Canis lupus familiaris: one gene and its partner. The protein of the gene in region 1 interacts with the protein of each later gene in a biochemical or structural test. Links are inferred from orthologs where the notes say so. Each region holds a gene or a part of one and is shown in the gene's direction. Other genes may lie near its edges.

Evidence for each region.
Region 2: the proteins of RPS6KA3 (region 1) and PEA15 form a complex in vitro, tested with the Homo sapiens proteins (2 studies listed by BioGRID). The link is inferred for Canis lupus familiaris from reciprocal best matches to the Homo sapiens genes RPS6KA3 and PEA15.

The regions. Positions count from the first base shown.
Region 1 is NC_049260.1:16,153,575-16,170,205, reverse strand, and holds part of RPS6KA3 (ribosomal protein S6 kinase alpha-3), read left to right. Parts: intron 1-6,906; coding exon 6,907-6,995; intron 6,996-7,633; coding exon 7,634-7,698; intron 7,699-7,773; coding exon 7,774-7,876; intron 7,877-9,796; coding exon 9,797-9,921; intron 9,922-12,550; coding exon 12,551-12,676; intron 12,677-15,436; coding exon 15,437-15,526; intron 15,527-16,631. UniProt on the Homo sapiens protein: Serine/threonine-protein kinase that acts downstream of ERK (MAPK1/ERK2 and MAPK3/ERK1) signaling and mediates mitogenic and stress-induced activation of the transcription factors CREB1, ETV1/ER81 and NR4A1/NUR77, regulates translation through RPS6 and EIF4B phosphorylation, and mediates cellular proliferation, survival, and differentiation by modulating mTOR signaling and repressing pro-apoptotic function of BAD and DAPK1.
Region 2 is NC_049259.1:22,822,585-22,838,323, reverse strand, and holds PEA15 (astrocytic phosphoprotein PEA-15), read left to right. Parts: upstream 1-1,664; 5' UTR 1,665-1,838; intron 1,839-2,420; exon of another isoform or gene 2,421-2,476; intron 2,477-6,351; 5' UTR 6,352-6,353; coding exon 6,354-6,525; intron 6,526-7,114; coding exon 7,115-7,270; intron 7,271-7,416; coding exon 7,417-7,481; 3' UTR 7,482-9,380; downstream 9,381-15,739. Other genes in the region: DCAF8 (DDB1- and CUL4-associated factor 8), read right to left, coding at 11,482-11,598, 12,206-12,322, 12,703-12,822. UniProt on the Homo sapiens protein: Blocks Ras-mediated inhibition of integrin activation and modulates the ERK MAP kinase cascade. Inhibits RPS6KA3 activities by retaining it in the cytoplasm. Inhibits both TNFRSF6- and TNFRSF1A-mediated CASP8 activity and apoptosis.

The DNA.
Region 1 (16,631 bases):
TTGTAATATATTTTATTTAACCCAGTATATCCAAGATATTTTCATTTCAACATGTAATCAATATTAGAAAATGATTAATGAAATATGATTCATTTTTTCATATTAGGACAATATGTCATTGAAAGAAGTATAGAAAATAGATTTGTGCATTAAAATAGCCAGGTAACAGACCTATACATATATAGACATTTTATTTATGACCATTGGAAATTGCAGAACACTAGGGAAGAAACAGCCTTTTTAAATAAATCATGCTAGAAAAATTGGTATTCATATAGGAAAAAGATAAAACAATCCCTACCTCACACCACACACAAAATCATTTCCAAGTATATTAAAAATATACATATATTTTAGTATATGTGCTGCCAAAGTGAGCACACATATGTATTTTCTTATATATGTAAAAAGGCAAAAAAGATTCTAGAAGAGCATAAAAGTGATGATCTTTGGGTTGGAAAAATAGTCTTCGGATACAGAAAGCACTAGCTGTAAAAGACTAATAAAGTATTATTACATTAAAACTGATAACTTCTTATCAAAAGATTCCATTTGAGAGAATAGAAGACAACATTTGAGACACATCCAACAAAGGGCTTATATCTAGAATATATCAAGAACTCCAATCAATCAGTAAGAAAAAAGCCCAATAGGAATGTGGGTAGGAGACGTAAGGACTTCACAAAAGAAGATATTCAATGGCCATTAAATAGCTGCTCACCCTCATTAATCAGAAAATGCAAATTATAACCACAGAGAGTTACAACTGCATACCCACCAGAATAGCTAACAGTAAAAAAACTGGCAATATAAAGTGCTAACAGGATGTGGAGCAGTAGCAACTTTTAACCACTTTGGAAAGCAGTTTTTTGACCATGTTCCAAAGCCAAATAATATATATACCCTCATCCAATAATCCTATTCCTAGGCATGCACTCAATTTACATGGATCAATTTACTTGCACATTAAGAAACTAGAACAGAGATGTTCATAGCAGCATTATTTGTAATAACCAGAAAGTGGAAAATGGATCACTGGCAGTAGAGTGGATTCATAAATTATGCTATAGTTAGTCATAGAATGAGATACAGCAGAGATACTATGTAAATACTTTAAGCTTTGCAAGCCACATACAGTGTCTGTCACGTATTCTTATTGTTTATTGTTTCCAACATTTTAAAAATGTAAAAACCTGGGTGCTTCAGTGGCTCAGTCAGTGAAACCTCTGACTCTTGATTTCAGCTCAGGTCATGATCTCAGGGTCACAGGACAGAGCCCCTTGTTGCACTCTGCCCTCAGTGCAGAGTCGCCTTGTCCCAATCCCTTTATTCTTCCCTGCCACTCACACATACTCTCTCTCTCAAATAAATAAATACAATCCTTTAAAAAAATGTAATAACTGAGACAGCTGGGTGGCTCAGTCTGTTAAGCCTCTGCTTTTGGCTCAGGTCATGATCCCAGAGTCCTAGGATCGAGCCCCATGTCAGCCTCCCTGCTCAGCAGTAACCTGCTTCTCCCTCTCCCCGTCCCCCACTCGTGCTCTTGCTCTCTCTTAAATACATAAACAAAATCTTTTTTTTAAAAATGGAAAAATCATTCTTAGCTCTCAAGCTATACAAAAACATCTGAGGCCTTTGGTTCAGGGGTACAGTGTGCCATACAGCAAAGAAAATGAACAAACCACAGTTATGTGCAGCAACTTGGGTAAATCACATTAAGAATGTTGAGCAAAGACAGTTCAGACACAAAAGAATAAATAACTATATGATTCTATTTACAAAGTTTTAAAGCAGACAAACTGAAACATAATTTTTAAGGTCCATATTTAAATGGCAGCAGCCAAGGCAAAGTAAGAAAAGTGGTTACATTGAATGAGGGGTTCTGGCAATGTTATATTTCTTGGCCACAGGACTGTTCACTTTGTGGTAAATCAGTGAACTGTATACTTTGGTGTTGGGGCTGTGCCAAGTTTGTTTGCACTTTATGTTATTCTCCCCAATAAAAACAGCAAAAAATATTTGCTCGATAAATGAATGTTCCCTGAACCTTCTTTACTTCATCTATTCAGGCCCCTTCCTTTCAGTGAATAAACATAGTCTAGTGTTAACAGACTAACTCTTTCTTTGACCTGGCCTTGTTTTCAAGTTTGTGTACCATCTTCCTGCATCCTTTGAGCACAAAGCCTCTTTAAGGAGTAGTCTGTGCTTTCTGTTACCATTTCTTGGCTCCTTTTATTCCACAACCTGTTGATTGTTCATTACCACCACTCAACTGAAACTCCTTTTCTTATGGTCACCAGTGATCTGGTTGCTTAAACCAGTGGCAGATTGTTAGGTGACTCTCTGCACCGTTTGTGGACACGATTCATTCCACAGAAGGTTGAGGTCTTGCTACATATACTTAGGATGCAGTGTGAACAAGACTGACAGGATCTTCTGTGGTCTCACAGAGCTTGCATTCTATTAGAGGAGACAAAAAATTAATATTTGAACACATGAAGATAATAATTCCGGATAGTAATAGGAACAATAGGCATAATAAACCAGATTATTTTTGAAATGTGAGGGAAAGGGCAGAAGCAGGAGCCATTTAGATGAGACAGGTAAGAAAAGTGTCTCTGGGAGTATTTGATGCTATTGCCACCTTCTCCCCATTTAGATCTTTCTCCTCACATCTGCTTCTCCTCCCTCCCTAACAGTTTCTCTTTTGGTCTCGTGCTTGACCATTCCTTCTCTGCCTGCTTTTCTCTGTCTCTGCCTGCTTTTCTCTGTTTAATTATGAAAACTTTCTAATGTAATTCACAAAAATAGGATTAATACAGTGAACACATATATCTGTCATGCAGATTCAACAGTCCCCAAGATTTGCCACATTTGCTTCATCTGTTTCTTTTTTCTTTCTCTTTCTTCATTGAAATATTTTAAACATTCCAGACATGCTATTTCTCACCTACTGCAGTTTGCATCACTGTAAAGTATGGATGTTTTCTTACATAACCATACCTAACAAGACACTGCTAAGTATCCACTAATACCAATTCTTGACCAGATTTTTCAGATTCTCTCCGGAACTGTGTCTTTACAGTCCCAAATCACATCTGAACATTTCATTTCTCAAGCTTCTGTTCTTCCAGAACACTCTACCCTGTGTTACCTACCATTTACTTGTAGAAGAAACCAAGACAGTTTTATAGAATTCCACTTTCAGAATATATCTTGTCAAAAGACGACCTCTTGGTATATGAAATAAAAACCATAAAGCCAATCCTATCGCTTACTACAGTAAGAAAGAGAGATCCTGATCTAATAGTGTCTAAGCAGCACAGACCAGTGTTCTTACATAGGGTTTTGGGCGAAGGGTAGAGTTCAAGAATTGGCAGATTTTCAGGGCCATAAGTGGGTTGACATCATCTCTAAGAGTGGTTACTTTGGTGGGACTGTTGTTGATCACTTGGCACTCAGGTGTGGTTGTTGGAGTCAGCCCATTTTTGTCTGGCTGATTTTCACAGATGAAGAGCAGTTACTGATTGGTTGGTTTGGAAAAAACAAAAACTATGTTCACCTAGGCAAGTTGTTTTTGATCAATTGAATGAATTTAAAGCCAGTTCTTGTGGCTCTCTTGTTAACATGGTGACATAACAATTAGCCTTCTAGGAGTGTTGAAATTGTTTTATTCTCCTTATAATATTGTTGAACTTGTTCCTTTGTTGAATTTCTGGTTATTTTTTGGCAAGATTATTTCATAGCTCATGCTGCACACATGAGCCATTGCATCAAATCAGAAGGCTTAGAACACCTGGTTGCCCCACTTTAAGTGACCAGTTCCTATAGTTACATCTGATCCCTCTGTTGCAAAGTTCCTTGGCAGATTTTCAACTAGTGGTTTCAACCATTGGTAACCATTAATTGAAACAATTATTTTATTAGGGATTCAAAAATAGTGATTTTCTATTACTTTTATTCCTTCTTCATTTATTAGCTGATATTTTCCAAAACAATGAACTTTCTCTCATCAACGAGGGCTCTTTAGTTACCTTGAAATAAGGCTCAAACAAGAAAAGCAGAATAAATGTTTGATTCTTTCCTTAATTATTTCCAATTGCCAGAGCCCTGGTTACCTCCAGTGGGGATGGTGTTGAAAGAGTTGGTTTTTATGTTAGTTTTGACTACAACAAACCCATGGGATTTGATAATCAGTGTGATTCAGCATTTACAAACAATTGCATTCATTATTTTTAATGCTCAAATTGTTCTTTTTCTGACCACTGTTTTAATGTTCTTGTTCCCCAGGGTTTCATCTCTGATATGCTTTTCTTCTCTTCTGTGCTCATTTCGATCTTCCCTATAACTACTCTCAGCATTTTAATTATTCTCAAATTACTCTTTCTTACCTTAACCAGACATCAGACCTGTATTCGCATTTACTCACTTGCTTGGCTCTCCAAAAACATGATATGTATGACTTAACATCTTTAAACTAGATTTATCTGTTTGCTGTTCTTTTTTTCTTCTTGTGCTTTCAATTAGCCTCATTTCTAAGTACCCCATTTCCCAAGCCAGAAACCTGAAAATCACTTTTGATTTCTTCCCTTCTCTTGCACATGCAGGTATTGGTCAAATTTGCTTTCAGAAATATTTCAGTGTCCCAGGCGTTTCTTTGCATTGTACTGCTTACAGTTCTCAGATCATGGTGGTCTCTTACTTACACTATTGAGTCAAGCTCCAAAGTAGAATGCTTACAACCTACCACCACTTCCCACTCCAGATCAGTCTATACTGCCCTTGGAGTTACCTTGTTGAAAATAAATTTGGTCATGTTATTCCACTGTTTAAAGACCTCTGGTATATCCTTATTACCTAATTTGGCAGTATTTTCCCAGATTTGTTGAACAGAATGCTCCCCCTACAAGATGTGAATAGGTCTTCTCTGAAAAAGAGGTACTGGGAGCAAATGTTTAGAAAAATACTGATTTCTTTACTTTAGATTTTTCAGCCTTTTATATGCATGTACTTTATTCTGTGTTTCCAACAAGGGGTATAATAGATAGCATTCCACAAATTCATTGGATCATGAAGTATTTTGTTGTTGCTGCTGAGTATCTAGAGAAATCAAGGTTATTTAGTAAGATGTTGGGGGAACACTGGCCAAGTGAATAAATTCTCAACCTTTAAATTGCATTTAAGGAGATCCCTGGAAGGCTCAGTGGTTTGGCACCTGCCTTCGGCCCAGGGCATGGTCCTGGAGGCCTGGGATCGAGTACCGCTTTGGGTTCCCTGCGTGGAGCCTGCTTCTCCCTCTGCCTGTGTCTCTGCGTGTCACCCTCTCTCTCACTTTCTCTCTCTCTCTCATAAATAAATAAAATCTTTTAAAAAATAAATAAATAAATTGCATTTAAGGCCTTTCACAATCTCTCGTGTTAAATTAGATATCCCCTGATATTCCCTTAGCAGTCTTTCCATACGTCCTTCTGAATATGCCTCTTCACGTACTAGGTTTATCCTTGGGTTATCCATCTCCGTCTTCCCCCACTGACTTGATGGGGTGCTATCTTTATCTGTATCCTCAACACTAAGGAATATCTGGCACATAGTAGCTCAGTAACAACTCACTGAATAATAAATGGATGTATTTCTCAAATAGACCTTTCTCTGCTAGCCATTTCCCCAGCTCTTTAATTATTTTCATACTTAGAGGATCATTAGTTTCCTTAATTTATAAATTAGAAAAAAAATAAAATTATATATTAGAGCTGAAACTGACCTTCAAGCTCATTCAAGCTGGTGGGTTTCAGACTGTACCTTAGACTCTTAGATGTTCCACAGACCTCTTTCCCACCAGCTCTTCTTCCCTGTAGGGCTATTAAAGGGAATGGGAGGAAAAAATAGGCATATGATGCACATGTTCTTTTAGCAGTTGTAAATAGTGGATTTCTTAAATTCCTTTTGAAAAAGGGTTCCAAGGCTACATTTTGGGAGCCATTGATCTAATAGTCCCCTTGCTTATAAAGAAGTGGTAACAGACCCAAGAGAATTGTCTTTTCCCAAGGTCACAAAGTTCTTAGTAACAGTGCCAGAACTAAGACTCAGATGATCTTACTGTCACAGCAGTGCTTTTTGCAAAATTTATAAAAATGGAAAAGTTTGTTAGAATATTATGGACTGAAATTCTATTAAGTGTTCACACAAAAACCTATATACAAATGTACAGAGCATCTTTATTTGTAGAATCCAAAACTGGACACAATCCTGATGCCCTTTAATAGGTAAATATATAAACTGTGATACATCCATGCCATGGAATGCTACTCAACAACTAAAAGGAATGATTTATTGATACATGCAACCACTTGGATGAATCTCAAAGGAATTTATGCTGAGTGAAAAAAGGTTACATACTTTATAATTATATTTACATAACATTCTTAAAATGACAAAATTGTAGAAATGTAGAATAGATTTGTGATTGCCAGAGGTTAAGAATTGGAGAGGGAAGGAGACAGGTGTAGTTATAAAGGGACAACATGAGATATGCTGGTAGTAATGAACTATTGAGTATCTTTACTGTGGTGGTGGATACAGGAACCTATACATGAGGTAAAATGGCATAGAACTTACACATTGAGTGAACTTACACAATGGGTGCAGTTAAAACTGGAGACATCTGAGTGAGATCAGTGGATTGTATCAATGTCAGTATTCTGGTTGTTATAGTATACTATAGTTTGGTAAAATGTTACCTTTGGGGAAAACTGGGTAAAAGGTATACAGGATCTATTTGTATTATTTCTTACCGCTTAGTATAAATCCACAATTATCTTAAAGTAAAAAAGATTAATTTTAAAAATTAAAAATAAAATACAAATACCTCCAAAAAATAAAATGTTACTATGTGGATTTATTCTTTAGAGCCAAACTTGGGATGCCTCAGTTTTTGAGTCCTGAAGCCCAGAGTCTCTTACGAATGCTTTTCAAACGAAATCCTGCAAACAGATTAGGTAAAATTTGTAATTAATTTTTTTTGTTTTTTTTTTTTTTGGTTTATTGGTCTTTGGGGTTTTGGGGTGGGGGGTGGATATTTGTTTTGTTGTGGAATTATGATATATTAGGACAAATGTTAAAAGCAAAGGCTTGGGGATCCCTGGGTGGCGCAGCGGTTTGGCGCCTGCCTTTGGCCCAGGGCGCGATCCTGGAGACCCGGGATCGAATCCCACGTCAGGCTCCCGGTGCATGGAGCCTGCTTCTCCCTCTGCCTGTGTCTCTGCCTCTCTCTCTCTCTGTGTGACTATCATAAATAAATAAAAAATTTTTTAAAAAAGAAAACAAAATTAAAAAAAAAAAAAAAAAGGCTTGACGCCTGGGTGGCTCAGCGGTTGAGCACCTGCCTTTGGCCCAGGGTGTGATCCTGGGGTCCCAGGATCAAGTCCCAAATCAGTCTCCTCACAGGGAGCCTGCTTCTCCCTCTGCCTCTGCCTCTGTCTCTGTCTCTGCCTCTGTCTCTGCCTCTCTCTCTCTCTCTCTCTCTCATGAATAAATAAATAAAATCTTTCAAAAAAGCGAAGGCTAAATAAAGTATATATTCGTCCCTGAAGTAAAATTACCATTTAATCAAAAAATTTAAACCATTTTTTGATAGGTGCAGGACCAGATGGAGTTGAGGAAATTAAAAGACATTCATTTTTCTCAACAATAGACTGGAATGTGAGTATACATGAAGATTTGCTTGAATTTTTTTTATAATTAATACATGTCTAAGTCTCTTTTTTTTTCCTCCAGAAACTGTACAGAAGAGAAATTCATCCACCTTTTAAACCTGCAACTGGCAGGCCTGAAGATACGTTCTATTTTGATCCTGAGTTTACTGCAAAAACTCCCAAAGGTAAGGAGAAAATGTGAAAACCTAAATATAACAGTGTGTGTGCGTGTGTATGTGTGTGTATAATACTCATGTCTCCCCTTCATACCATATCCTTCCTGCAGTAACTAGATAATTAGTAAATCCTTTACAGCATTTTATAGCAGTCAAGTTCCTTGTTAAATCTTTTAGCAAATTAGGTTATGCCTTAAACTTTGATACTATTTATGTGAAAAAAAAATCTTTGGTTGTGTGTTTATTTACCTGTAGCTATTTTTACATGAAATAATCTTTTAGTATAGATAGTACTCTTTAAAACTCTAATATTAGTTAGTATTTTGGAAGTACTTTTTTAGTTCAATTCCAAAACATAACTTAAACTTTATATGAGGTGTGACCATCTCAAAATGATTTATATCCTGTGTCATGCTTTATTCTAAAATTACATAAACATTGACTGTTATAGAGAAATTATCTTTGAAATGGTAATCTGTATTTCATTAAATTAGTGTATGCATGCATGTAATGGTGTGCTCTGCACTCTAATACCCTGTTGTTTAAGTGTACTAGACCCCAGGTTTATCACTGACAAACAAATAAATAAAAAGTATATTTGTATATATTTTCTATACAGTACATCACTTAAACCTCATTGTAAAGCTTTCGAGACAATATCCTCATAATTTGTGTTAATAAGCATTGATGGATGTTTATTTTTATTAGACAGTCTTAGAAATTAGGATTAATACATGAACAAAATTTCATCAAATATATGAATAGTGATATGCATAGAATTGGTGATATATGGTAATGTTTTACTTTACTTTCTCATTACAATTTGGCCTGATAGAGGAAAAATTTCAGAAAAGAGCAGTTCTATATTGTATTCTTCCCAGATTGGTTCTCTTAACAGTGGTCTTCAGTATAATACTGTTACATTGAATTAAAATGCACTAAACAGTATTTATTGCTGAGAATATCAAGCTGATGTTAAAAAAGAACTTTGTATGGAGTTGATATTTAAATATATTTGCCTGTTTGGTTTTTGCTTTCCCTTAGCCTTTATAGCATGATTATAAATATTAGTATGCTTAATTGTGTGTTTATATTTATGAATTATACATTTGTTATGCATGCTTTTATTGTTTTTATAGTGAATATTATATTTTAAAAGCATTTTTCTGTTTTTGTTACTGCTAGTAGATTCCACATAAACAATTTGAGTAACAATATATGTCATGTCATAAAACATATTTTAAGGACTGCATACCATGATTGTCTTAGAAATTATTTTCGTTCCTTATATATATATAAATATAGTAAATTTTAACATGTAGTTTAGATTTCCAGATTCTGATATTGTATATTGAGGCCATCAGACTAAATTCCTTTCTCCTAAATTATCTGTGGATGAACCCTGTATCTCCCTCTCACCAGGATCCATAGCATTTTTAGGTTATCATTTAAGGTTGCACCATCTAATATGGTAGCCAATAGTCACATGGGGTTATTTCAATTTAAATTAATTAAAATTTAAAATTTTGTTTCTCAGTCACACTAACCACATTTCAAAAGGTTAGGAACTGCATATGGCTACTGGCTACCATATTGAACAACACGATAAAGAAAATTTCTATCACTACAGGAAATTCCATGAGACCATGCTAATTTAGAATAACATTAGCCTAGTAATTTTCATCGATTTATTATATTCTTCAATGAATTAGCTATTTTCTGGGCTCAGAGGAACTTGGATGTTAGAGTTGTGATGCCAATAAGCCATCAGGACAGAGCTGATTGAGTGTTACTGAGTTATCCTGGAAGCCCTGAATGCCTAAAAAGTGGAATTCCAGAATAAGAGAAAGGTCATACTGTCAACAGTTCTTCTTCCCTTAACTTACCATTCAGAGTATAACCTTCTTAGTAATGTATTATTCTTTTCAGATTCACCTGGCATTCCACCTAGTGCTAATGCACATCAGCTTTTTCGGGGGTTTAGTTTTGTTGCTATCACCTCAGATGATGAAAGCCAAGCTATGCAGACAGTTGGTGTGCATTCAATCGTGCAGGTGAGTGAATGTCTAAGTAATTTAAAATTTGAAATGTTGTAAGATATGATTCACTATGTGAATAATTAGATTAGATTTGATCTGATGATTTTAAGTGAGCAGCTTAAAATACATTTTATATCATTGACTTACTCTTAGAAATTCCTTTCATATGCCTTTAAAAAGATAGGGTACCTAAGTGGCTCAGTTGGTTAAGTGGCCAACTCTTGATTTCTGCTCAAGTCATGATCTCAGTGTCATGAGATCAGGCCCAAGGCCAGCCCCACTACTTGGTGGGAAGTCAGCTTAACATTCTCCCTCTGCCCCAGTGTGTGCACGTGCTCATGCTCAATACCTCTCTCTCTCTCTCTCCCTCTTTCTCTCTCTCATAAATCAATCAATCCATCTATGTATCTATCTTTTTTTTAAAGATTTTATTTATTTATTCATGATAGAGAGAGAGAGAGAGAGGCAGAGACACAGGCAGAGGGAGAAGCAGGCTCCACGCAGGGAACTCGACGCGGGACTCGATCCCAGGACTCCAGGATCGCGCCCTGGGCCAAAGGCAGGCACTAAACTGCTGAGCTACCCAGGGATCCCCCTATCTATCTATCTTAAGGGAAAAAAGATTGCATGCACCAGAGTCCTGGATACTGATCTAACTTGAAAGGGGAATTCTAAGAGAGTTGAGATGCATATCACCATCTTGTCTCTACACTCTCCTATGCCTCAAAATGTTTATCAGGCCTAATTTGTTTCATCTTCTGCCTCTGTCAGGTCAGCCTTGATGAACTAAGATCTCCTGGTTCCCTGATGGCTTGGAACAGGGCTCAGCAGATTTGTTCTGTAAGGGCCGGTTAATAAATATTTGAGGCTTTGTAGGCTATATGATCTCTGTTACAACTACTCAACTCTGACAGTGTAGCATAAAAGCAGCCATGGACTGTAGCTAAATGAATGAGTGTGGCAGTGTGCCAATAAAACTTTATTTATAAAAACTAGTATTAAAACAAATTTGGTCCATAGGCTATACAGTTCGCCAATTTCTGCTATAGAAATACATAAGAAATAAAAGTGAACTTCAGCCTTATATTTTCCAAGTTTTGTGTCCTTGTTCTTTTGGAGTCCCCGTTGCTATTTAATAGAAATGGTTATAGATACTACCTTAGGATGTCCCCCACCCCATTATCCCATCTGTGTATCAGAGTTGGAGAATGAGGTAAAAGCCGCAGAAGCAGGTTTCCAGATGTCTGTATGCCTGTAACACGAGACTGAACTAGTAAATGTTATTAGAGGAACACAAGTAGTACAAACCATTAGATGTATTTCTTCCCATCCTAGTATCATGGAAAGATAAATTTAATTCATCTTCTGAATTATAGAAGGAACTAGATATATCTTTTGAAGCACTGATTGTTTTTAGGGCACTAATTAGTGCTTGGATTTGCTTAATGATGAATTTGCTTGAAGATGAAGTTGCTTTTGCTCTCAAGTTTTCTTCGCAAGTTAGTCATCTTGCTTTCCACTTTCTAGAAAACCAATTTAAACACTAGTTTTTAAATAAATTTCATGGTTAAAGTAGTTTGTTCCTTTTACTATAGCAAGCATGTGATGTATGGCAGGTTTTTAAGTTATAACTTCTGTACCTAACATAGAAATCACAAACATATATTCTACAGAATTCAAATTCTAACCGATACACAGTTTGTAGACATTGGTAGGCAGGAGGCGGGTCTCCTTTCAGTATCGCCAAGGACAGCACAACTTCCCTCAGCCTGCTTATGAAACTACTAATTTACTAGGCATCGTCCTACCATATGTTATCAGTCCTTAACCTATTAATAGCTTCTCTAGCAGAAATGTATTGAAGCTTTGACTTGAGAGTGGAAAATGGAGGGCATGGCTACTGATAATCCACAATGACGATAATAGGTGTCACCTTCAAATATGTTATTTTTATTTAATCCTCACCATTACCCTCTAAGAAAACATAGTTTAGGGTTGCGCAGTCTGCAAGAGGAGCATCTGAGACAAGAATCCCAATGTTCTAATTCTGAATCCTCCTAAATATTTTCTTCTATACCAGAGACTTTAAACTTCTCCCTATTTGCAAAAGTACTTTAAAAGACCTAGCATCAGTTGGGGAGTGCAATAGGGCTCAGTCACAGGCAACCCCTTACCAAGTAACTCTGCATTTTCGGTTTTACATATTCAAATTTTTTAGCATAAGCTTTTTCTTAAAAGCCTATTTCTTGCTGTACATTTTATGGCAAACATTCTAAAATACACAGTTGTGGGGATGCATGGGTGGCTCAGTCGGTTGAGCATCTACCTTTGGCTCAAGGCATGACCCTGGAGTCCTGGGATCGAGCCATACGTCGATCAGGGAGCAGGGAGCCTGCTTTTCCCTCTGCCTTTCTTTCTTTCTCTCTCTCTTTCTGTGTCTCCCTTGAATAAATATAAACTATTTAAAATAAATAAAATACACAGTTGTGGAAAAATAAATGCTGTAAAGATTCATTTTTAATTTTTGCTTATATTCCTTTATATTGTTAATATCAGCAATGCATAATGAGTAACATATTCCTCTATTATGAATTATACCATTGTCATTACAAAACTCTTTGTCAATTTATAATTGTGTTTGTAGCAGTTGCACAGAAACAGCATTCAGTTTACTGATGGATATGAAGTAAAAGAAGATATTGGAGTTGGCTCCTACTCTGTTTGCAAGAGATGCATACATAAAGCTACAAACATGGAGTTTGCAGTGAAGGTAAATATTTTTAGATTTAAAATTCAACTCTGGGGTGCCTGGGTGGCTCTGTTGGTTGAGCATCTGACTCTTAGCTCAGGTCTTGAACTCAGGGTCATGAGTTCAAGCCCCATGCTGGGCTCTATAGTACCTAAGGTCCTCTATGCCCAGCATGGAACCTACGTTTTAAAAATTAAGAATAAATTAAAAAATAAAATACAGCTCTACCAGTTGTTATTCACACATGTCAGTACAAGTTAAAATTAAATTTTTCTTTGGCAAATGTGCCTTTCATTTTTTTAAAAAGGTAAATTTAAATATCTGCCTATAGCAACCTTCAGGAATCTCAATTTGGAACCATGGATTCACCTGTAAACTAAAGGCAGGTAGCGTACCTTTGGTTTGCTCAAGGCAGTAGTACATCTGACTTGATTTTTAATAGCATCTTCTTACTCTAAAAAGTAATATGGGGGCATTTTGTGGTCTTGAGTGTCAGGGACTTCCTCAAGATTGTATGCCAAATTTTATGTGTTTACATTTTTCTGGCAAAAATGTTCATATTACCAAAAAAAAAATGTTCATATTGTCCTTCACATATAAAAGGATCTGTGAACTGATAAAAGGAAAAGACCACTGTTACAAAATTTATTATCATTAGCTGTTTTAATTTCATTGTTTCATTCATTGTTTTAATTTCATTCAAGACAATAAGAATTTTTGAAGCCAAATCATATGGCTCTATGATAAAGTTTGAATTACAGACCTGTAGCTATAAGTGAAAAAATACTACATTCAAGTCTCTGCCTTTTCACTTCTTGGGATGGTAGTCACTGCTCTCCCAATACAAGCAATTTAAGTAATGTCTAAGGCTCTTAATTTATTTTGGACCTTAGAACTGGTCTGTAAGTGTGGGTAGCTCATGTTTACTTACATGAAGAGAAGCATTAATTGTTTTTACTTCTGTATATCCATCTGTCTTTCTAGATCTAATATGATTTCACTGTGCAAAAATAAAAATAAATGTGTTTTATATATGCATAGCAAATATCTATGAAAGACACACACATACACAAAAAAATTGTTATTACTATTCTAAACTTGGATGTAATTGCTTTAAAAATCGTCAGTGTCCAGCTTTCTGTCAGATATAAGGATAAACCATAGAAATGCATGTTAATTTGCTCTTCTCCTACTCATTGCTCTTAGTGAAATCTGGGGTACATAGGAATTTTCAGATTGCTTACGAGAAAGGAGAGAAGGTGAGTAATGCACATGATGGGCAGTTTAAGGATGTGTCTTGCCTCCATAAACACATCAGAAAAAGAGCAGAAATACCCTGAGGTCCCCTTTGAATTACAGAAACCAGGAACAGTATACCAAAACCTCAAGAATATCTTCAAGCTATTTGTGGATTCTTGTGACTTAAATTAGATTCATAAAATCAATCCTAACACAGCTTCATTCTGCTGAAATTACCACAAATCTAAGATCTACAAACACAAGTATGTGATATAAGCTCTGCTCAGATTAGCAGATCAAAGAAAATGTTGCTAGGAATAACACCTCCCAGTGTGTTCTGGTTTTCAAAAGACTAGTCCCAGATCATCTCCCTTGAATTAGGATGTCTATTCCATATACCTTTCCTCTTAATCATCTATTTGCCTAATTCCACACTGTCATTTGCATTTGATTACAGTGTACACCTATGTTTGTATTCCCTGTTCTCCACATACAGAACTGTTTTACAACTAAATCCATTTCAGATAACAGATTTGATTCATACTTTGAGTTGCAAGCTTTTTCCTAGATTGCTGGAGCATTTGAGTATTTGTTGTGTACATTAATTACTAAGCTCTTTTAAAATTGAAAATATAAAGGTCACAAAATTTGTTTGAGACTACCCTCTGGACAAAAGAAAGCTGAACTTGTCCTTTTAAAAATATAATATCACTTTAACAGATTAAAACATTAAGAGATGTATTTTTAAGAAGCAGCTGACCTAAAAGGGTTGAAAAGCTACATTAGTATTTTATTTTATTTTATTTTATTTTTAAAGATTTATTTATTTATTTATGAGAGAGAGAGTGAGAGAGAGAGAGAGGCAGAGACACAGGCAGAGGGAGAAGCAGGCTCCATGCCGGGAGCCCGACGCGGGACTCGATCCTGGAACTCCAGGATCACGCCCTGGGCCAAAGGCAGTCCCCAAACCGCTGAGCCACCCAGGGATCCCCTACATTAGAATTTTAAAGGGCTTTATCATAATAATTAAACTTAACTCTAGCCAAGTAAAACTCTTGGTGTGGTTTCTCTGCTTAGCTTTCTGCCTAGCTTCAAAAATAAGCTTGTTCTACTTAACTGTTAATTAATTTTTTATAAGTAGCTTACAACTAATGGGTTATTCCATTGAAGCATTTTATTAAAGGAAATAAAGTTAATTCAATAAACAGATGCTAGTGGCAGTATTATAGATACATCTTGTTCTTAATTATATGTATTGATAAGGGTTAAAAGTTGACTGAGCTTCCAAGGTTTTAAGACATTCGGGGATGGAAGAAAAATACCTTTTCTTGGGGCTTTTGAGTGTTTAGTAAGTCCTAAACTTAGACTGGCTTTCAAATTTTGATTAAACAGTCTGGCCAGGTACTAGAATAAAACTGGTTGGTAAATGGCTCATATGTCCAGTATTTATGTAAGATAATACCTAAGGTCTGTAGCTGTGCATACTTAAGGTTCGTGACCTTAATAGTTCATGAGATTTTATGATAAATATTTGCCTTTTAGATTATTGATAAAAGCAAAAGAGATCCAACAGAAGAAATTGAAATTCTTCTTCGTTATGGACAGCATCCAAACATCATTACTCTAAAGGATGTAAGTAGTAGATTCTTGAACTCCAGTAATTTGAGTCACTTGTCCAGCTCACATTTGGAATGTTTTCAAATATCATGTGATAGACCAAGAACTTGATAATACTAAGTTTTAAAAAAATTGACTAAGGACAACATGTATAGCATAATTTAAGTTCTAAAGAAAAACATGTTTAATTTTTGTACTTTGCTTTAAGAAGAAAAGCATTGCTGACATTATTGCTTTTAATATCTATATTTATTGGAACATTTGGGTAGTGATTAGTATTAGGAATTGACTAGTCTCATGCTCCATGTTCTCCCCAGACTGTCTTCCATAGTACTGCCAGAGAGAGCAAACACTTGGATATAACCACGTTACTCCCCTGCCTACAGTTCATACCCTGCTTCACCTCCAGTCTGCCTTCCTCTGTCTGCAGTGGTTTTCACACTTCCTCTCATACCCCATGCTCGAACCATGCTGCATGTACATGCAACCATGTACATACACATCTTTAAACTTTCCTCCTTTTCTCATGCTGCTCTTTGAATTTATGGTTTCCTCAATCAACAATACCACTTCCCTTCTTTGCCTGGCCAACTACCGTACATCTAGAACTTTGCTAAAACATTACTCGCTCCAGGAAGCCTGTCCTGCCCATCACCACACCCCAGACAAGTGAGGTATCTTTTCCTTGCTACCTGTGGTTTTTATCATAACAGAGCTGTTGGCAAAGGGTATGAACTCCCCAGACAGTATTAAATCTTCTCTTGCTGATGGTGCTCACATAGGCTCAAAGGCTGTATCAGAGTTGTAGACCTGATATGTCATGTGGCCAACTAAGCCAGAGGACTTCTAAGATACTTTGCCTTTCACCTCTGAGATTTTGTGAATTCCAAAGGTTAATCTCCCTTCTTACTAACCCAAACTCCCAGTTTCCTCAGATTAATTTATCACTGCATTGTTAGGAGAATGTTAGCTTGGTTCCATTAAATGTGAAGCTGTGTAACTTAAGTGACTCTTTGATATAACCTCCAAGAATCCAACTAAGTAAATCAAAAAGGAGGTGTAGAAAATACTTTCTCTCATCCTTGCCTTAGAAATTCCGTAAGCTGTCACTGTTTTTACA
Region 2 (15,739 bases), on another chromosome or scaffold:
TAGGCCCTCCCTCCGTGAAGAGTGGGGGCTGACGGGGCAGAGGAGGCAGGGAAGGGGCCTGCCCGTCAGTGGAGAGCATCAGAAGCACCTGCAGGATGTGGGTGTCATACTGGGGGCGCAGAAGAGATGAGCAGGACAAGAGGAGACCCGCAAGTGGGCCCCACGAGGATGGGCGGGTGTCACGGGGTGTGTGGAGCTTGGGTCTCGTCCTGGGAGCCAGGAGGAAGGGCACTGATGGGCAGGTGGGCAGAGGGAGGGAAGGGGGCCCCTGGCCCTCACGGCCAGAGGCCACCAGTAGGGCCCGCCCTGCAGAGGAGGCACAGAGTTCTGTCCATGCGGCCCCCCACCCTGCCCCCGGGCCTGGGCGGCTGAGGTTCTGGGCAGGAAGGCTCCCTACGGCCCCCAGCACAGCCCAGGCTGGCGTCCGGGTAAGGGAGTGGGATGCCGTCGGGGGGTGGGGGGGTGGGGGGGGACCAAGGCACTGATTGCCCAGAATTCACAGACGTGACAGTTACGGGCCAGGTACAGAGGTGCCGCTGAGACTACAGGACGGCTAAGTTCAGGAGCCACGTCACTGTCCTGGACAAACCCAGGAAGCGCCCCTGGAGGGGGCGGAGGGCTCCTGCCACCATTCAGTCCTGCGTCTAATACGCCGAGTGGGCCCTGGGCCAACCATAGGCAGCCGGCAGCCCCCACAGCTCAGGGCAGGGCCCCTGCCCATCTGCGGCTGGGTCCCGAGCACCCATCTGCGCCACTCCTGACACTCAGGATTTCTGCGTCTGGGGAGAGCCCTGCATGGGGGGGGGGGGGGGCAGCAGCATGTGCACCCTCCTGGCGAGGGCGCTGGGCGTTGGGGGCATACCCTGCCCCCCGGGAGGGGCAGAGCCAGTGCAAAGCCCCAGCCCCTGTACAGGCGTCACTTTGGGTCTCTGGGTCTCACCGATGGCTCAGAGAAATGGCTTGCGGTCCCAGGACACAGCGCAGGAGACACACAGCCAGGGCACGAGGACGCCCTGCTAGCAGAGGGTGGTGATGGGGGGCAGGGAGGAGGCAGGAGGCCTGTAGACCAGGACGGGGGGCTCCCCAGCTGGAGGTGGCACAGGCCTCTTCCCAGGGCCGCACGGCCGGAGTTGAGGCAACAGCCCTCCGGCTGCAGGTGGGGCGCAGACTGCTGCCCCCCGCCCCCCGTGTTCCTTCCCTGTTTCAGTGTGGCCGAGACTGGGAGGAAAGTCCCCGAGGCGGAGAGGAAGTGAGAGCGCGGCCGGCCGGCAGAGGGGAGGCCGAGCTGAGCGTGGCTTTGCACGGCGGCGTCTATATTTGCACGCTGAGCTCACTGCTGCTCTTTTCCTCCCAGAAAATCAAATTACATCATGGTGGGGGGAGGCCGGCGGGCGGGACATCTGGGGAAGGTGAGAGGGACACGCGGGCATCACCCCGGGGGAGGGCCCAGGTGGAGGGGAGGGGGCCGCCGCCGCGCTGCCGCGGCCGCTCGGGGGATCCGGGGCCTCGGCCTCCGCCGTCGCCTCCCCCGGTGCCCGCGCGCGAGGACGGAGAGGACGAGGCCCGCAGCGGGGTCCGCTCCCCCCCGCCCCCGCAGGCCCCGCCCCCGCAGGCCCCGCCCCGCCGCGCAGGCCCCGCCCCCCGCAGGCCCCGCCCCGGTGACGTCAGCGGCCGGCCGGGCGGGGCGCGCGCGGGGCTGGGGCTCGGGCTCGGGCTCGGGCTCGGCGGGCGGAAGCGGCGGCGGCGGCGGCAGGAGCGGCGGGAGCCGAGCGGAGGCTCCGGACGCTGCCCAGGACCGGGACGCCGGAGACCGCGCCCTGAGCGCTCAGCCCGAGGCGGTGAGGGCGGGGGCCGGGGGGCCGGGGGGCGGGGGGCGGGGGCGGGGGCCGGGGAGCGGGGGTCGGGGCCGGGGTCGGGGCATCGGGCCCGGGGCGCGGGCGGGGCGGGAGCCGACCGGACACACACCTACGGGAGCCCGCGGCACGCGCCGACACACGCCCATGTGACTCGTGCACACACCGCTTCGCACGCAGCAAATCACAGCGGTCCCCGCGCTACGCACCCCCTCCCCCACGGCCTCCATGTGCCCGGCCCCGGGCGACCCGCTGCGGGACGGGCGGGGGGCGGGTCCTGCGGTGCCCCCGGGCGGGATCCGGGGCTGCGATCCGGGGCGGGATCCGGGATCCGGGGCTGCGGTCCGGGGCCCGGGGCCGCGCAGGGCGCTGTGCTGGGCCCGCCGGGCGCCCGGGGCCCCGGAGCGGCCGCTGTCTGCGCCCCGGGGCGGCGGAAGGCCGGAGGAGGGGGCGGGAGAGAGAGAAGGAGCATGAGTCAGCCGAGGATGGAGCCCGAGTCGGGGGGAGAGAACGAGGGGAATGTGCGCGAGGGACGGGGACGCGGCCGGCGGCGGGCGGCGGGGGGAGGGCGCGCCCCGGAGCTCGCGCTGGGAAACGGCTGAATCTGTGGGTTTTGTGTCTGGGTGAGTGGCCCCCGGGCCGTCAGAGCGATTAGCTGTAGCTGCTCTTCCCTTTGTGGCCAAGCGCCGCGTCGGGGACGGTGCCAGAGCCCCCGAGGCCGCCAGAGCCCCCGCGGCCTGCTTGCTCGGCCGCACTGCCCTGGGTGCCCTGCCCTGGGTGCCCTCCCTGGGTGCCCACCCCAGCACCCTTGGGGAAGGCCGAGGCCATGCCTCCTAGGCAGACCCTCAGCACCACCTGGGCACAGCCAACCCGCTCAGGCTCCTCCCCACCACAGTGATGATCCCTGTACAGCTGGGAATCTCACTCCTTCCTGATGGGTGTTGGGGTAGGGGCCCCGAGTGTTCAGACACGGACACTGGGGCACAGGCCCCCCCCCCCAAGTCCTCAGTATTCAGGGCCAGCACCACGTGACATGGGATGGAAGCCCACCGGAGGGAGAGGAGGGGGGGAGGAGCTGGATGCAGGGGAGAGACAGGGAGGAGACACAGCAGCAGGCGAGGCCCTCCCCTCCCCCCTCCCCCGTCCCCCCCACACCAGGAGGCAGCCCCCCCCCATCGCACACTCCATGCCCCCACCTGGGTCAAGTCCCACAGGCTCGGCCCAGTGTCCGTGCCCAGGGCTAAGCCTCTTGCTCTCAGGCCACGCTGAACCGTTCGAGGCCCCAGGACCCATCTCCCCTCTGGCGGCTGAGTCTTAGAGCCCCCCGCTTTTGTCACAGGGTGAGGCTGAACGGAAGCTACGGGCAGAGGTCCACGACGTGTGACACTCAGGATAATGAGGGGCGAACGAGGGGCCCAGGTGGAAACTGAAGTGGGCCCCATGGGCCCCCCTCCTTGCCTGCCGCCCCTCCCCCAGGCTGGGGCCTCCCTCCCGGCTCCTGGGACACACCCCCACCCGCCACCCAGGCCACCTGGTCCACCCGCCCCCGCCCGCAGGCCACAGGTAGCCAGCAGGGGGGCAGTGGCTCCTGAGCCTCGGGCTTTCTTCCCAAGTCGACTGGGGGTTTGGAAGGCACCGCTAGGGATGATCCAGAAGTGCTGTCGGGACGCCCGGCCTTCTCGGGGTGCTGCGCCCCCCGCGGTGGTGTCCCCTTGGCCCGCCGCCCCCAGCGCTCCCCGAGCCCCAGCCGGCCCGCTCTGGCTCCCGCCCGAGGACCAGCAAGCAGATCCCTGCCCCTCCTCCCCTGCGTCCCCAGCGGGTCCCACGTCCGTGGGGCTCCACCTGGGCAGCTGGGGGGCGGCGGAAGGAAGGAAGGAAGGAAGGTAGGTGCGAGGAAGCAGGGAGCAGAGCGCAGAATGATCGGGAGGGAAGGGGACGGACTTCCTGGCAGCGGCCGGGCCGGTTCCTGCCCGGTATCCTGTCCCAAGAAGGGCCTCCGCCCAGGCTGCCGGGTGATCCCGGGAGGGGAGGGGACTCGCCGGGAGGAAGGTGACGGTGACCGGCCCGGGCGCAGCCCGCCGCGGTCGCACCAGCCGGGACGAGCGCTGGGCAGTGCGACCTGAGGGCCGCGTGAGGAGGTGCACCTCCCTGCACCCCAGGATTCCCCAGGGGACCGGCAGTGGCCCTGCGGCCGCCAGCCGCCTCCCCGCCCCCTCCCCACGGCCGGCCCTCCTCACTCACCACTCCCCGCCCCCTCCCGTCCAGTGGTGTCATTGTCCTGAGCGCTGGGGGGCACCCAGAACCGAGGTTGCCATGGCAGCCGCTGAGTCCCGGGCCGCCCCCCAGGGTCTGTCCTTTGCCGCCTCCTGGCCGTTCCCAGGCCTGCCTCCATTCCGCAGGGTCTCCTCCGCCGTCCCCTCCCCTCTGGACGTGGGCCTGTGCCTGCAGACCTTCCTCACGCTCTTCACACACACGCACGCCCGGGGCTGACACGTGCACATCCGTGCCCTGACCATGCACCCCTCCCCCGCACCTGTGCCCCCCCCCCCGCCGGGCCCCACATCCACTGCAGGGTCCCACCCCCGTGCGCCCCCCCCACCCCGCTCCTGGGGCCTCCTGGAGTCCGCTGCTGCCCGCGCCCCCGGCCATGGGTGCCGTGGGTGGCTTGCTCACCACCCTGAGCCCGGCCCGCCCACCTCCCCTGGAAGTCTGTGCTGTAGGATCGGAGCCCGGAGCCTTAACTCTTTCCAGAGATTCGCACACACTTTCCTTCCGCGGGATCTAGTTACAGCCTCTTCTTCCACGAGAAAACGGGACAGGATGCTCCTCAGCGCTGTCCTGCTTTCCCCTGAGGGCTTGGTCCCAGGGTCTCCCTGTGGGGGGCACGCTGCCGCCTCCCGAGCCACCCCTTCCTTTGGGGGGCCCCACCCCCGCTGACTCCGCGCGTCTGGACCCCTCCCGATCACCCCCTTCCTGTCCCGGGATTATCAGTGGGTGGGGGCTGGGCTCCAGAGCTGCCGCTGTGACCTAGATTTCAAGGCGAGACGGTTCCTGGTGCTGACAGTCGGCGAGCATTGTTCCCGGCCCCGCCTGGCAGGGCCACCGCTGGGCCCTTCTGTCCCCTTGCACCTGTGAGCGCCTGTTTCTCGTGGGGGTCCTGCCGCCCGGCTCATCGTGTGTCTGCGTCGCGGTGCCTGCCACCCAGAGAGGCTGGTTCGTTCTGGCCCACCGAGGGGGCTGGGAATGGGCACCCCTGGGCCGCCGCCTCTCTGCCTCAGTTTCTCTGCGTCTACGCCACACGCCGCCTGCTATGTGCTGCATTCCCATCCCCTTGCCGGGGTGACTGGGGCAGTCCAAGGATGCGGTCCTCCCGCTCCTTGCCCTGGCCCTCCGTCACGCCAGAGCTGTGATGTAATTTACTTTTTAAAACGCTTTATTTTTCTGATTATAAAAGAAATACATCCTCATTGTGGGGGGATCAAAGCCCCTTTAAACTTCCCACGAGGGGCTTCACGTCTTATCCCACCCGGGGAGCACCTGCAAAGGTCCGACCCTCCTTCTTCCTGTCTCAGTCACACTTTGTGCCTGGCCAGGGCAGGGAGGGCCTCGAACGTTCCCTCCCTTTCCAACTGAAGGCCTTGGACGAGGCAAGGGGGAAGGCCTGGAGGAAGGCCCGCCCAGCCCCCCGCGGAGGCCGTCGTGGGGCACAGCCGCGTCGGAACCCCTTCCCCTGCCACCCAGCCGGCCTGGGAACCGGGCAGGGGGCCAGAGGCGGCCGCTTGGTATTCCTGGGCGCGGGGGCTGCGGGCACAGCACAAAGGCTGGCGGAGGGGGCGGCGCGGAGGCCCGGCGGCCGGCACGGGAGGCACGGGCTCCTCAAGGCTGGGGTGGCCCCCGCCACCCCCTCCCCGCCCACCCCTGGCCCCAGCACTGAATCCCGGGAGGACCGTTAGACCAAGCCCCCGGGCATCCGTCCAAAGTGAGTCACCATGGGGTGGTGGGGAGGTGAAGTGAGGGTCCCCCTCGCTGCTGGGGAAACGTGGAGGCTGGAACACAGGCGCCCCCAGCGCCCCAGCCCCCTGCCCCGTAAGGGGCCCCAGCCCGGCCAGCCTCTCCCTCGCGGTTGTTTTGGAGTATTTTTTTCTTTCCTTTTTTTTGACAGGGGGAGGGGTTGCGGGTGGGTGGGGCGATGGGGGGGCTCGGAGGCTGCGGGTGAGAAAGTCTGGAGCAGGTTGCTATGGTAACCGCCTCCTCAGTCAGGGGAGCTGTTGCCAGGGTTACTCTTGGGGGGAATGAGGAAAAAAGATGGGGGTAAGGAGGTGTGACTGGTCCCTCGAGGCCGCAGCCCGGCCCCCTGCTTCTCCCTGGCTTCTCCCAACGGCCTGGGCCCTCCCCCCCCCCCCCCCCCCCTCGCAGAGTGGAGGTGCTGGTGGGAGGTGCCAGCGAGTCCGCCGCCGGGCACCTCGAGCTCAGCGCCTCCCTTTGTTCCTCCGACCAGTCATGGCCGAGTACGGGACCCTCCTGCAGGACCTGACCAACAACATCACCCTGGAGGACCTGGAGCAGCTCAAGTCGGCCTGCAAGGAGGACATCCCCAGCGAGAAGAGCGAGGAGATCACGACCGGCAGCGCCTGGTTCAGCTTCCTGGAGAGCCACAACAAGCTGGACAAAGGTGGGCGGGGGCCGAGCCACGGGGCCCACGACCCCCCCCCCCCCCCCCGCCCCCATGCACCTGCTGCCCCTGTCGCGGGCGCAGGGAGGGCAGAGCCGGAGCGAGCGCCCGAGCCAAGCCACAAGTGTCAGAAGTAGAACCGCTCTGGCACTTTCAGAGCCGGGCTCCGGGGAGGGCGGGGGCGAGGGAGCTGCGGGTGAGGAGGCCCCGAAAGGCCAGTGGACCCCGGGGGTGCTCCAGAGGCGGGAGCGTTGGGGTGTCTGGAGGATGAGGCCGCCTGCTTTGTTCGCCCGGGGCCCAGGCGACCTGGGAGCGGCTAGGGTAGGGTGGGCCGTGCTGCGGCCGAGGGGCTCTGGGGGGCCTACGGAGCGGGGTGAGCCGCGAGGGCTCGGGGGCAGGGGACGGGGGCGCCGTGGAGGCCAGAGTGGGGCCCTGGCTGGGTCAAGGCGGGCAGGGCCACGGCCACGGCGAGGCCAGCTCCCTGTGGTCCCTGCTGCTCAGCCTGCAGCCCTCGTCCGAGCCGCTGCGGGCCTGGCCTCCCGGCCCCGCGGGCCCCACGCGGCTGACCCTGTCCCCCGCCCCCCCCCAGATAACCTCTCGTACATCGAGCACATCTTTGAGATCTCCCGCCGCCCCGACCTCCTCACCATGGTGGTGGACTACAGAACCCGCGTCCTGAAGATCTCGGAGGAGGATGAGCTGGACACCAAGCTCACCCGGATCCCCAGTGCCAAGAAGTACAAAGGTAGGAGCCCGTGCCCGTCACACGCACCCCTGCCCCCCACCCCCACGGCGATCCCTGGAGCTTGCGGATTTGGGGCCAACACAAGCGGACGGGTGGGCCTGCCTGCTGTCGCCTTCCGTCCCACACACGTGCCTTTCTGCCCCCAGACATTATCCGGCAGCCCTCTGAGGAGGAGATCATCAAATTGGCTCCACCACCGAAGAAAGCCTGAGCGAGGGGGAGGAGAGGAGGAAGGTTGGACCTTCACTGGACCACTCCCTTCCCCCAGCCTCCAGGGGAGGGGCACGGGCAACCCCCCCAGTCTACCCACTTACTAACCCGGTCCTAACCCCCTTATTGTGCGCGTGTGTGTGCGTGTGCGCACGCTCTGGCTGTCTGTCTCTATGTCTAGCTCATCTAGTTCCTCCTCCTTGTGAGGGGATGGGGGTCGGGCTGGGGGGGGCTTCGTTTCCCCACTTTAGGGGGAGGTGGGGGCTATTTCTATGCAAATAGAAATGGGTACATTCCTCCTACTGCCCTTTCCTTCCACGGCTAAAGTGTGGGAGCAGAAAGAACCTGTATTTTCCTACTGAGGAGCCGAGCCTGCGGGTAAAGCACGGGCGAGGTGGGTGCATTTAATGAAAAGCAGCGGGAGGGAAGGTGGTCACCCAACCTCCCCCCTCCCCGGAAGTGGGAAAGGAAAGCCGAGTTTGCGCCTGTACCCCGTGCTGGATCGGCTGAGGGAGCTTTTCTAGACGGTCTTCAGGCCGGAGGGCCTGGGCCCCAGCAGGTCCCTTTTTGCTCCCGTCCCGCGGGCCTAGGATGGGTACAAGCCAGGGATCTAATGAGAGCACCACGGGATCCTTTCCTGGCCCCTCAGTACCAACTTTGCGGAGCACCGAGCGGTAGACGCTACCCCCCCAAGGGCCCATGCTGGGAGCAGCCCCACCGACCCCGACTCGGGGGCGCGGGCAGAGAGGGTCCTCCTTGCCACCCCTTTATTCCTACTCAGACTGTTGCACACACGGACTCCAGACCTAGGGAGGCTGAGCAGTGAGCCCCTGAGGTCTTCACTCCACCCCTGCCCCAGCCACAGGGTCCCAGCGTGGGGACTACAGGCCACCTGCCCTCTCTGGGGTCTACAGCACCCCCAGCTGGAAAGACAGGAAGAAGCTAATTAGGGCCTCTTCCTCCGCACTGACCCCCAGTTCAGTCCAGGAGGGGACCTGCTGGCCCGTCTCCCTCAACCCCCTGGCGCGTCGGGCTCGTGAATGCCACCCAGCCAGTCCCCGGACCCCGGCCTCGTCCTGTGCCGACGCCCCCCCGCCCTGACCGTGCTAACTGTGTGTACATATATACCGACATATATGTATATTAAACCCGCACTGCCATGCCTGCCCTCTCGTGGTGTCGAGCATACCTTCTTGTCTAGGCCCGGGCGGGGCTGGGGGGAGGCCACAGCCAGAGGACTGCCGGCGAGTCGCTGCGGAGTCCACACGGGAGACCGCGTCCACGTGCCACCTCCACAGGCTGGAGCGAGCGCAGTTCCGAGCTTTTCAGCTGAGGGAGCAGGCCCAAGCGGGGGGAGGACCGGCTGCCGGGGAGGGAGGAAGCCGACGGGCCGCGGAGCAGCCTGCACGCCCAGCCCAGCCCAGCCCAGCCCAGCCGTCCCCTCTGGCCACTGCTGCGGACACCTGCCTTAACACGGACACCTGGAGTACTCCACAGTTTTGCCTTAAAGGACCTCCCCGAGATGCCCCAGCCCTGTCTGCTTCTCCCTCCAGGACCGAGAGGCACTTGTAGAATTGGGAGGGGGGAGCTGAGCACGACTGTCCTTCCGGTCAGGATTACGTGATGTGAGAATGTGCGTGAGAGCGAGCGAGAGCGAGAGGGGGAAGAGGAGGAAGGAATAGGAGCCTTCTCTGAGGAGAGGAGGGGGGAGATGGGAGAAGGGAGACAGGGTCATTTCCAGCAGAGTCTAGAAATCTCTCTGTAAGGCAAAAATAACCTAAAAAGACTAACCTGCCCTCCCACCCTGTACGGCTGTGAGATTGTCCCCATCCTGTGCTCCTGTCTGCAGTGTGCACGGCCTTGTTCTAACCCTGGAATAAAGGTGATTGACTGTACTGTACCTGACTGCTTCTAGAATTTCTGTGAAGGTTTTTGGAGCCTCTGGATGACTGGGGGGGGGGGGGGGGGTGATACTTAATTCCGCTCCCTCACTAGCCTGGAACAGAGGCCAGGAAAACCCCCCCTCGTGGTGTCCTTCCCCTCCCCCGGCCCCTACGTAGCCCCCCGCAGCCCCGAGCCTGGAGACACGGCCCCGCACACCACACCTCAGGCCCTAGGAAGGCCAGGGCCAGGCACCGAGGCCGGCAGGAACCACACCAGCCCATCTTGGGTGAGAGGGCCACACATCACACACACAACAGCAGTCAGAAAGAAGAAGAAAAAAAAAGCTTTACTGAGAGAAAATACACAACAAAGTCCAGAATGCGTGGTTTTCAGGCCACTCCGTCGCCCCCCCAGCAACAGGAACACAGACCACTCAGTCACCACACAGCCCCTACCTCGGGGCAAGTGCAGCAGCTCACAGCTGGTCTGACCGTGGCTAAGAAAGGGGCAGAAGGAAGGAGTGTCTGGAATTCCATCCTTTCACTGTTCCCTTCCTCCCTGGCTTATTCTAGTAGAATCGGGCTGCCCCAGGGTGCAGAGTTTCTGGTGGGGGGGCAAAGAAATAGCAGCACAAGCAATAGGGCAAGAATTCAACTAGGACTTCCGTATCCGTGACCGGTGACGGGACGGGCGTCCAAGCCCCAGCCATCTTCATCCTCCAACGACGTGTCCCTCAATCGCAAGATGTCAGAGGCGGACAAGCTCCAGCGGCCGACCCAGGAGGGCCTTCTCTACTTCGCTCTTCCACCAGGAGAGGAGCTGCTGCGGTGAGGTGGGGGCTTCAAGAATCAAGCAGCTGCCGCCGAGGGCGTGTGTCCCCGTGTCCCCGCCGCACACAGCGGGAGAGACCGCCTGCAGTCAGTTCAGTCAGGCGCGAGAGACGCCGGCCTCTGCGGACCAGAGGCCCTGAGACCGCCCCGGAACACCACCGGGAGGAGAGGTGGGAGACCCGAGGCAAAGGACTGAAAGGAGTTTCCGGTTTTCCCAGCCCCGAAGCTGTGGCAGGAAGCAGGGCAGGGCAGAGCTGAGGACCCTTCCATTCTAGAGCCTCCGAAAGCCCAAGGGGCTTGCCCCGACCTCCAAGGGCCGCGTACAGAGGGCGGGCTGACCCCGGTGTGACCGTGAACTCACGATCCGCTCTCATCCCTTTATTGCAGTCATAGAGGATATATAGGTATTTAAACGGACAATAATTTTAACGTGATACATCCAAGTTTGACTTGCTTTTTAATATATTTATAGATATAAAATTAGGCCTCTAACAGTGACAGGGCAAGGAGATCGCTGCCACCAAACAACTTTTTCTTAACATTAACAGAAGAGGTAACACGTCCTTCGGATTCCTCCTCCGCCTCTGCCCCCCTTCCCCTCTCCCCCAGCCTCCCTCACCAGGCCTAGTTGGGGTGACGGGACGACGGAGAGAAGAGCGGGAAGGACACCTCATCAAATGTGAAACACTGTGGGAAGTACAGAGGACGAGCGGGTGGAAAGGAAAGTGAAGAGTGTGGGATGGTTAGGGGCTCTAAGGACCTCCCGGAAAAAACAGGATCCAGGGTTGGGGTTGTTCAGGGGGGAAAAAAACAATGCAACTGTCACAGACTTTTAAAAAATAAAGAAGAAAAAGGCCAAAAACCTAAACCAAAGAGAGAGTGGCACTTGTACCGCCCCCACTGTGGCCCATGGGTCCTGAACAGCCAGTCACCCCCACCCCCCACCCGAGAAACAGGGAGATTAAAGAAAAGGAAACCCCATTCCCTACCCCAAACCAGTTAACAAAATAGGCTCCCCCCTCCCAAAAAACAAGGCTTTGGGGAGAGGCCATTTCTGCTGAGCTCTCTGTGCCTCTCCATGCAGCCCACCCCGGGGCCTGCTCCCACTCCGAGCTACTCCGCAGGTTCACTCCCCCTCTGGTCTTTCTCCTGGGATGTCTGTCTTTTTCATCTAAAGCAAAAAGTCCAAAGTGCGTGTCTGCTGAATGTAAGGGCCTGGGACAGGAAAGGGCTGCCCAGGCAGGATCGGGTTGGCAGCCCCAGCCCGCCCTTCCTGGGTACGAGGCCTCAGGACGGCATGCACTGCACCCGGTCGGGGCCCTCCTCCTCGTCCGAGGTGTCGGAGGAGCTGGGAGACTCGTCGGAGTCCGCATCTGTGGCCCCAACCCCAGGTTCTCGCCAGCGCTGTAGAATGGGAAAGGCTTGTTAGTAATTTCCCTGAACCAGGACAAGCCTGTTAGGTCTTAACTCTAATTCGGATGCTCTAGGCCAGGGGTCAGCAGAATGCTTCTGAAGGGGCCAGATGAGGAGTCGTTCAGAGTCCTGGGCCGCTGCTCTGCTGCAACTACTCAGCTCTGCTCTTGCAGCATGAAAGCAGCCACTGACAATGTAAACGAATGGGTAGGATTGTGTCTAATAAAACTTTATTTACAAAAGTTGCCAGAGTTCGCCAACCCCTGTCCTAAACCTCTTCTTCCCCCCTAAGGGAAAAAAGGCGGCCACCCCTTCCCCCACATTCCTCCTCAACTCTTTCCCCACCCTCACACCTCCGTCCCCGTGGAGACAGCACTCTCATGCACGGAGACAGCACTCTCATGCACGGCGACGGGGAACGGAAAGCAGACACCACCCATTCTGCCACACCAGGGCTCTGACGGGGATGGGGGACCATGCAGAGGACACCCAACCCAAGCCACCGGATCCCTTTTAAGGTGGTGAGGAAGTGGGCACTGGAACACTCTCCCCTCCAGAGCGTCACCGCCCTGGGAGCTCACCTCCCCCACCCGCTTACCCGGTGGTGGCGTCTCTGTCTCAGGTGATGCATGAGGAACCAGAGCATGTGGCTATCAAACAGGTCGGTGTGGTGCAAGCTATCTTCATCCCGCTCCCGCTTGTTCTTCTTAATCACCTGGAACAAAAATGGGTGGTGGGAGTGGGCATGAGCAAGGAGTAAGAACCCTGGACCTGACCAGAAAAGACTGGCATTCTATCCCACTGAAAACTTCCTTTAGGATCCGTTAAGCTGAGGTGCTGAATGAGATCAGGGAAGGATGCACCACGTTTATCCACAGAGAAGACTGGGAAGCTCTAAACCAGAATGGTTCTTCTAAAGACACCCCAACCGCTCCACCGTTTACTAGAGGCACCCCGCAGCCCCCGCCGAGCCCCCGCGCTGGGACCACTCCCCAAGGGGCAATCAGTGCCTTTAAAGAACTGAGCAGCAGTTATTCCTTCCCATGACAACGAAGACTCAAAATGTAACGTGGACATGGGCAGTCAGCTACTCACGTCCTTCAGCCCTGTCAGTTCAGTGGAAGTTTCAGCTGTGGGCGCCCAGATCTTGACGTCATGGTCAAGGCCACTGGTTGCCAGCACTGGCAGGTGAGGGTGGGGCTCGAGACAGTTCACCTGGTGAGAAGGAAAGGAAAGCACAGGCTCAGGGGGTGTATGCAAACGGGGCTTAAAAACCACTACTCACCTTGAGCCAAACATATTCCTCAATCAGAGCTGAAGCAGCTGCTGGGAAGGCAGGCCCAACCATCATGAGTGTGGGCCAAGGGCCCTGGGGGTGGAAGAAACACTGGACACAGACTGGGTAGAAGACCAGGCCCATCGCTCATTTCCTAAGTATAGGCAGGGGTGGCCTCACCCTAGACACAGCCCTAGGGGTGGGCGGGTGACTGGCCAAGCTTACTGCTGGCTTCACAAAAAGGCAGTGAGGTCCAGATGACCTCATCCACTCCGGATTCCACAGCTCCAACTTGCCCATGGCTGGAAAAAGAAAAACCTCTCAGTGGCTTTCACCAAATGGCAAATAAAGTTTTAAAAATGAAGAAAGCAACAGCTGCTGCTGAACCCCCAGAAAAGAGTCCAGGGATGATTACATTCCCTTGGCACTGTTTACTTGAACTGGAGGGTGGCACAGGCTGGGGGGTGATGAGGTGCTGGAGCTCTAGTCTGCTTGAGAACCCTGCGCGCCCCAGGGGACAGCACCCTGCAGTGGCCCTGGAAGCCCGACAGGCACAGTGCAGGAAGACAGTGTCCCGGAGCACCCATGGTTTCAATGTCCACCACCTCCGGGTACAGTCACTGGGCAGGAGAAATGTACTTGGGCAGACAGGCAGGCCTTCTGGCTTAGGCAGCTTCCTTCTGTCTGGAGGCACCCATGCCCCCTGCTGTCTGACTTGAAAACATCAGCCTTCCAAAGGGCCAGGCAGGGCCAGGCAGGGCAGGGCAGGGCAGGGCAGGGCCGGGCCGGGCCGGGCAGGGCAGGGCCGGGCCTGGGCGCTCCCATGGCCACTGGAAGAGCTGGTCCCAGATCCAGCTGCTGAAGCATTTTCAGGCTTTTAGTCAGATGAGGAATGGATAGGAAAGGCACCCGGAAGGAAGAGGGTGTGGTCCTCGCCCTCCTCACCACCCCCCCCCATCCCATCCCAATCCCATCCAGCCCTGCAGCTGCCCCATAGGCCAAGAAAACCACCCCTGGCAAAAAGCCTCTTTTATCTTTTACTTCTCTCTGGACCAACTCCTCTCTGCCTGGCCTGCACGCGCAGAGGGAGCAGCTGGGGGGAAACCGGGGCCAGCATGGAAAATAAAACTGACCCACAGACTTCCAATTTCTTTGTTCTCCCGCTTTACAAGTAAATAGAAATGCTCCAGAAAAAACTGAAGCTAAGCCTGAGCCTAAGAATAAAGCAGAAACCCCATCTCTCCTCTTTTCCTTCTCTCACTCCTCATGTCTGCTCACTGCAAAGTTTATACTGGGGCTCTCTGAGGTAGTGTGGAAGTTTCCGGCATCTGCAGCTCAAGGCAGCATTAGACAGGAACTCCACTGCCTGAGAATATGATCAAAAGATACATGATAACTCACACATACAACCCTGAACTCATTCATCCACCTCCAGATAATAATAAGCCTTTGCTACCCTTCTACTCTGATCTAGCTCTGCTCAAGCACGTCAGTAAATCAAAAAGCACAGAGGAGAAACTCCTTGGAATTTACGACTAAAGACAAAGTCAAGGGCGCGGGGAAGTCAGTAGCGCACGGTACCCGGGTTGGAGCCGCAGGGGGAGCCGACGGAGAGCTTCTGGGCCAGGCCTGCCTTACCCTGTCAGTGACACGCTGGAGCAGAGCTCCAGCCTTAGGAGGACTGGCCTGGGGGATGCAGGGATGGGAAGCGGTCGAGTGCTTCGGGACACTAAGGACTGTCCTCTGACATCATGCCCCCCCACCCGTCCCTGAATGGGAACAAACAAAGGACTAGAGTTTGAGCCAAAACCAGAGGCAAGAGACCTGGGCAAGGAGAGGGGAATTTCTAAGATCCCCTCTGGTTCTAATATTCTGCTTTATGATGAGCTGCTATGAATGTGCTTTTGAGGCTGGTGCCTGGAGACACACTACAGGGAAGTCAGGACCAAAAAACAGAGGCCTAAGTGAGGACACACAGATCATCAAGTCACCCAGGGGCACGCAGAAGCTGGGAACCTTGTCTCGGGGTGCAGTCTCTGTATCTCTTGTTGGGAACTCTCACTCTTGTGACTTGTGACCACTGAATCCAGGCTTGAGGCCCACCTGTCCCAGGCAGGTGCCCTCCCCGTTGAGCACCGGGATTAGTCATCCAACTCTGATACTGGCTGTGGTGAAAGCACAGTGGCCTGCAGAGTAGTCTGGGAGAACGGACAAGTGCTGGCCTGGGGGAGGGCATTCAGCCCTGCGTCTCTGGAATGGGACGCAAGACAGTTTATGATCTAGAAAGGATTCACTGGCCCCTCCTGACTTCCTTCGGACTCCACGCCTACTGCAGAATCCTCATGAAGACTCCGAGGTTTTCGTATGTTCGTTGCAGATGATGGAAGAGGGCTTATGGCAAAGAGCAGGACGTGAGGCAGGCAACAGTGAGACAAGCTTTCATGATCTAAACGCCTCTCCACATACATTTAGGCCACAGAAGCCTTGGATGTGTACTGGCCCCAGGTCCCCCAAATTTAGACAAAACCAGAAAAAATCTGAAATAACTTCCCACGAGGGGAAGAGACACACAAAAAAAGGGAGCCTGACGGCAAGGACCCATTTTAAATTATACCAGCACTCTCGGGACAAGCCTCATGACGAGGTGGCTGGGCTCTCTGCAACCGCCCAAAGCTTAGATGGAATGAAACGGAAGAGAAACCAAGCTGTCTCAGCCACTCCCCTTCGAGGCCCTTAACCAGACTGCCTCGGGGAATTGGTACAAGGCAGTCTCCCACACTGCCTCTCTTCAGATCTTCTGCAGCCCAAAACCCTTACCATAGGAAGCCACTCAACTCCCTTCCTGATACTGGGGCT